Linked DNA regions of Daphnia pulex. Each later gene encodes a partner of the first gene's protein in a complex. Links are inferred from orthologs where the notes say so. Each region holds a gene or a part of one and is shown in the gene's direction. Other genes may lie near its edges. The genes, in order: disks large 1 tumor suppressor protein-like and G-protein-signaling modulator 2-like.

Region 1 (3,926 bases):
ATCTACCGATGGATAAAGACAACCAAAAAGTTGGTGAACTGATTGCTAGATGGCGTGGGCGTATTGGCCGATCGATCGATTTTCTCTTGTATTCACCAAAGAATGGTGGTTGGGGGGCTCTTTTTTTTTATGATTTGTTATTATGGTTTCCAAACCAAACAAGAATAAAAAGAAAAGCCCTTCTTTTTCTTCTGTTTTGTGTAGAATATAATACCGCACTCCCCGAAGATTATAACATCCATCAGAACTGGAAAATTGCTGTCGAGATCTATCAATTTTGGGCCGCTTCTTCCAACTATATTCCGTTGGTCGCACACATAGACAGACAGACAATCCCGGGACGATCCATAACGTTATTTCGTCTTGTTTTTCTTTCTGTCGTTTTGCTCGGGAAACTAAACAGTCGAATGGGACTGTGATTTAAAAAAGGGAGAAGAGAAAAGAAAATCAGATTTGCATACACAAATCAAGTCATCGTTTTTCGATTCTTTCTAGACACACAATCTTCTCGGTCGAATGGACGTTGTGTGTGTGTTGCCGCTGTTCCGTCATCCATAACAACACAAAGTCTAATTCGGAAATGTCAAAAAAGAAAAGTCTCTTATTTTTGGGTGGGTTATTTTTCATCGTCATACATTTTTATTCCGTGAATTATTTAGTACTGCTCTGCGCTGGCAGCCATATATACATGGGTATTAGTTGGGGTGGGCAATCAAGCCCCGCAGTAGTCCGTCTTGGGGTTTTTTGGAAGCCAACAACCGCGACCGGATTAGTTTTGAGGCCCACGTCGTCTAATCCTCTGGATCCTTTTTGTTATTTATTTATTTCCAAGAAAGAAAAAGTAAATAGGGAAACGATGTGGGCTGGTGGGTTTTTACAAAAGAAGTCTGTCGACCGACTGTTGCTGTTTTCTACTACCTAATCTGTCTATATGCAGAGACGTTGATGAATGGAAGGCGAAAGTGGATTTTCAAGAGCCACTGTCGATCGAGTAAGAGCTAGTCGGCGCCGGCGCCGCTATATAGACGCTGGGTCCGTTTTGTGTGTGTTGTACATACGAGTGAGGAGGAGAAGACCAGCATCAGCCGTTAGCAGATGTATTCGCCTCTTCCGTGGTGGTGGATGTTGTTGCCTTTCTCGTCGACAGGACGGCGGCCTCGAGTGATCTTGTACCCGGATAAAATTACAAAACAAAAAGCACCACGCAGGATTATTAGTATGTCCATCAGGGTCTATGAGTGATGTGATGGCTATCGAGAGGTCCCGGACGACAGGCCCCGGTTGGTGGCCATTATGATGGCCCTGTTCGGCTTACTTTGGCTAATGCGCATCCGAGCGGAAGTGAGAAAAGACAAAAGAAAACGGTCGTCCAATCATCCCGGATTGGACGAGCATCTATTACTGTTGCCTCCTCCAGTTTCATTCGCCGACTCTAAACAACAACAGCAACAACTACAAGACGAGGAGGACGTTGTTGACGACGATGTGATCCCTCCGCCGCCTCCGCCGCCTTTGAGGCAGAACGTGCAAATCCATCGCTCCTCTTCGTCCATCCATCGCGACAGTTTCCAGCGTTTCCAGCAACATTACCCCATCTCTCAGCAGCCTCCGAGATTCTTCCAACAAGCTCAATCCTTCTCCCGTTCCGCTCAAAACTTACCGCTAAGCACCTTGGAGTGCACTTGTCCGACGGGCGGCGGCCGCCCAGCTGTCCGCCGGCCGGCTGTCCGATTTTGTGACGATCCATTCGGATTCTACTCCGCTCGTGGCGCTCAAAGTTGGAATTATTCGACTCTGCCACGCAATCGGCCGACGTCTCGATCCGCGCATGGTTGGTTATTCGGAATTCAATTAAGCTCCGGCTACTAGGATTGGTTGGCGGCCATACCGACACACACACACACACAAAAGTTTTCCAACAATGGAACGTCGACGACGACGAAATTTCCTTGTTTTTGATTACTTTTCTAATTTAAAGATATTAAGTCGTTGGCGCGTGTTGAATTTGATTGTTATGTACCTCTCAATCTATTTCAAATTGAGCGCCATTTCCATTCCATTAATGCGGCTGTCAAAACTAATTCCACGTTTTCCCCGTTGTAAATAGACATTCAGGAATTTTACGAGTTGACGTTGCTGGACGAGACGAAAACGGTGCAACAAAAGACGGCCGAGACGCTGCAAATGGCAAGCAAATGGGAAACGGCTAATCAACAGTCAGGGCCGGCAGCCGTCATCATTCCGACGCGGTTCGGCGACAGCATTCAACAACAGTCGTCATCTTGCGTCACGGCCGCCTCGACGTCGTTCCCGATGGAGGTAAGAACCCAATACAACCTTCGTTTGAATTTATTCGCAACTGTGGCGGGAGTGGGTGGCGTGTATAAAAAGCCAAAAGAAAAATCATTTTTCATTTTTGATGAAGCGATGTGGGAAACGGAACTTGGCGAATCCATGAATAAGCTCAAATAAATCTCATCCGAGTGCGTGGCTTTCTTATTCGACTCTGGATGAAACGAAAAAAAGTTGTAGGAGAATTAGGCGAATCGCTCTAGGAAAAATGTATTCAACTTTTAAAGAGCATTTTTGGGAGCGTCGGCTTGTATCAAAAGCTCCGATCGATTTCCCGCCCTCGCCCCCCCCCCCCCAACACACACACAAACGCCATGTTGATTTTGATTTCGACATCAACAAACACCAGCAGCGCAAACGTTTTCCAAAGCTGATTGAAGCGTGTTGCGGGTCGACGAGCTGAACCAACAAGAGAGCCACGGGATTGGCCGTTGCCACCTTGTTGACTTACACGTTCTCCCTACCAGATCTGAAAATCGTTGAATTTAAAAAATCATTCGCTTTATTTACCCGCCGTTATTATTGATGAATTATTCGGAAAAGAAAAAATCAACAAACTGTTGAATTAAAAAATAAATTAAAACCAACTTGCAACACGGCCGTGTCATTATCGATTTAAAAATAAAGAAAAGTTGTTGGGACGCGGAGTTTGACGCAACGGTTCGTTGCTCAATTCAAATACCCCGCCAGCAAGAGTTTGAGGATGAGCGTTTGCTCGTCGTGAGTCTTCATCTTCAAACATAATGAGCGGCTGTTCATTGACGCCCAGACGAGCTTGAACTCACCCCGCCCGGGTATTGATCCTCCTTCCCTGTCAGTGCCCGGCGCTGCGTGCAATGACGTCAACTACCCCGTCGTCTTTTAAGTCGCCTACTAAATGGACTTGGTGGAGGACCAGTGAAGATAATTTAATTTTTGAATTTGTGTTATGTGGGACCAGCACGAGACCAGTCCCTTTCTCGAGAAAATTAGAAAAGAGAATCGCTAACCGCTTGATGAGAAATTGGCAAGTGCCCCCTACTTGTAGTGGGCGAGGGTGGAGAAGGCGAGTGGCGTTGCGTCACGCACTTACCGGCTTTGAAGAGAGACAATCACGTTTTATCGTCGGCCAATGAAATGTTATTCGAGTTAAATGCACTACGCTGGTTGAAGCTCATTTGAAGGAAACACGTTTTTACGAGGCTGGATCGCTGGATAAGGGTACGAATCTCTTTGGGTTGGCCACCATCACTATATACTCTACGTTTCGTTAGTGCGTAGCCCAAGGGCGCCAACTCTCTGTACACTGGATACCGTTGGGCGGATGGGCGGACGAGAGTGTATTGTTGTTGTTGTTGTGGTTTTACCCCCCCAAACCGTGAGGTTGTTGCCATGCCAAGTAAATAAAAAAAAAACCCCTGGCAAACAAGCTTCTGGGTTTAATGGTTCAACAAACAGCGTGATAATACACTCATTTGTGACAATCACGCGGCTCTTGTGTTTGAGCTGCGTGGCGGAGGAGGAGGCCATCGATCGAGCGCCGGGGCGAGCGGCTACTTACTTACATCTCCAAATGGCATCTCTTAGACCATCTT
Region 2 (2,421 bases), on another chromosome or scaffold:
AACTCAACGAAAGGTCACGCTTCCGAGGCCGACGACGACGGACTCTACGGAGCAGATAGCAAGGCAAGGCGCAGGTTAAGCATGGAGCGCATGGATTTGCTCAAGGTTTGTTTGTGTTCGTCCGCTTTTGTCGCTTTGTTATTATTCTTGGCTTCTATTTTCTCGCATACCGCACCCTCGCGTTCAAACTTGGGAAGGTGGGAAATCTACCGGAGACCTTCCAAAACTTCTATTTTTTCTCTTGGCAAAATCTGCAGCATGGCGATTTTATTATTATTTTTATTACCGTCATCATTGTTTTCGTTGGTCCGTTTCAATTTCGGTTGCTTGCACTGTGATTAATCCAGCTGACGCCGGATGTGAAACAACTTCATAGCAAGGGACGCCGGGAACTGCATGAAATGGATCCTGTGTGGCCTAGACCGCTCGCTGGTCACCCGTTGGTTAGACGTGATATGCTGCCCCCGTTTGTAAGTTTCAACAATCCTCTCTTGATCCGGCTCTATCGGATGGCTCGTTCGTCTGTCTGCTTCTTTCGCTGCCAGTCTATCACAACTGTCACATCTCATAGTCTCGCTTGTTGTTTTTGTCTCTCTATTTCTGTCCGTTACTACCCTGTTGCTAACCGGAATCCATTTCGTTTTGCAATACGATAGGCCAACGGAGACGACGCCATGGATGAAGAGGAATCCTTTTTTAATTTGGTCACTCAATTCCAATCGAAACGCATGGACGATCAGCGTTGCTCGTTGGCAATCGTAGACAACAAGGAGAACCAACAAGCAAGTACACTCCCGTCGAATATTCACGGTGAGTTGTTTTTCCAGGGAAACCAGGGAGGGGGGATACGCGCTCCTGGCGTCGCCCCGAGTTTTGTTTCGTTTGCCTGCTTCTACGAGGGAGTGTGTTTTTATTTTCCTCTTTTTTCGCATATTGTTTCGATAGAGAGCCCGTCGAGATTGAAGGAAGATTTAATGGACCTGATCGCCGGCATGCAGAGTCGCCGGATGGATGAGCAGAGAGCTTCACTACCGCGACTACCCGGCCTGAACAACGCCAATCCAGACATTTTACGTCGGCTGTCTGTGGAGCCAGCCGGCGAGGATGCAGCCGCATTGCCCGATGAGAATTTCTTCGAAATGTTGATGCGGTGTCAGGTTAGATATTCTTCCACCTTTTTGGCCGAATTTGTACTCGTTTCTTTTTCACGAACGACTTTTTAAAATGATTTTTTACTTTTTATTTTTTTCATCGTGTAGGGTACGAGGCTGGAAGATCAGCGCAGCGCCTTGCCGGATACATCGCCTCGGCGGCACAGGGGGCCCACCATGCCCGACGAAGACTTTTTCTCGTTGATAATGCGACTCCAATCGGGTCGACTCGAGGATCAAAGAGCCGAAGATCCTTCACCTCTCATCGCTGCCAACGGAGCTGCCGCCACTTCCTCCTAGACGGAACGGTATCCCTAACCTCTCGGAATGTTTTACCCCTCCTCGCCATCAGCTCTCATCCATGATCGAAATGTATGTTGACAGTCTCTATCAATACCCTCTCTCCATTTTTATTCGTTTCAAAAAATAGCCATTCCCTTTTTCTTTTACTTTTGACCGAGTTTTTTTTTCCAAAAAAACTCTTCCAACTTCACATCCATTTCATTCGCTCTCTGCCTCCTCCTGGAAGTAGAAATCGCGAAAATTAAATCTCACCATTCCTCCTTTGGGGAACAAACAAGGGGAAGGGGGGGTTGATTGTCCGTTCCCGCATGGTTGCACACGAGTTCAAAGGAGTCCCTTTTTTTTTCCGAACATGGCAGTTCTTGTCTTCTCTTTCTATTCCGTTGGCAGAGCATTGTTCCTACTCCCAACGTGAAAGGCAGTTAGAAGACAATAAATAGGCCTATTCCTCGTTTTATTTATTTTTGTCCCCATCTTTTTTTTTTCTTTCTTGGATCTGCAGTGGAAAGTCATCATTGTTGTCGTGAAAACGAAATTGTTTGTCATGGAAGTTTTTAGAGATGAGATTAAGTTGGCGACAGTGTGAGCAAGAAGGGGAAAAAAACAAAATTCGATTTCTCGTTATCTTTTCACTTTGGTGCTTGGTGGGCTCCTTTCCTTCGGGATATTTTCGTTTTATTATTGTAGCGAAATGAAAATGTTTCTTTTTTTGTCGAGGACTGACGTGAAAGAGATGTAAATGCAGATGCCTATGGGGGTGGGGGGTAAACGAGTCGTGTTTTTGTTTCCTCCCAACATAAAAAGCGAGGGCCAAAAGGGGATTGGAACGAGAGCACTTTGTTCTATTTTTCACGCGAGTAAAATGAATCCTGTTTGATATTCAACATCTTCCATACGCGTGCGCAAACTTTTATTATTTTCTTGGGTCTGTCTTGTTGCACGGCACCGATTCTGTTCCCTCCCAAAC

What was found.
Region 2: the proteins of disks large 1 tumor suppressor protein-like (region 1) and G-protein-signaling modulator 2-like are in contact, whole or in part, in a crystal structure (PDB 3TVT), measured with the Drosophila melanogaster proteins. The link is inferred for Daphnia pulex from reciprocal best matches to the Drosophila melanogaster genes dlg1 and pins. Residues at the interface, in NP_996406.1 of Drosophila melanogaster: Cys808, Val809, Pro810, Arg814, Arg817, Arg824, Asp825, Tyr826, Ile839, His842, Phe844, Ile845, Glu846, Ala847, Gly848, Gln849, Tyr850, Tyr855, Ser877, Asn879, Arg883; in NP_524999.2 of Drosophila melanogaster: Arg434, Met437, Gln439, Leu440, Asp441, Leu442, Ile443, Lys444, Ile445, Thr446, Pro447.

What each region holds. Positions count from the first base shown.
Region 1 is NC_060025.1:300,653-304,578, forward strand, and holds the start of disks large 1 tumor suppressor protein-like, read left to right. Parts: upstream 1-1,146; 5' UTR 1,147-1,293; coding exon 1,294-1,831; intron 1,832-2,107; coding exon 2,108-2,319; intron 2,320-3,926. UniProt on the Drosophila melanogaster protein: During embryonic development, some isoforms are essential for proper neuronal differentiation and organization. Required for cell polarity; maintenance of apicobasal polarity.
Region 2 is NC_060018.1:4,015,502-4,017,922, forward strand, and holds the end of G-protein-signaling modulator 2-like, read left to right. Parts: coding exon 1-105; intron 106-347; coding exon 348-470; intron 471-656; coding exon 657-810; coding exon of another isoform or gene 811-945; coding exon 946-1,157; intron 1,158-1,259; coding exon 1,260-1,451; 3' UTR 1,452-1,911; downstream 1,912-2,421.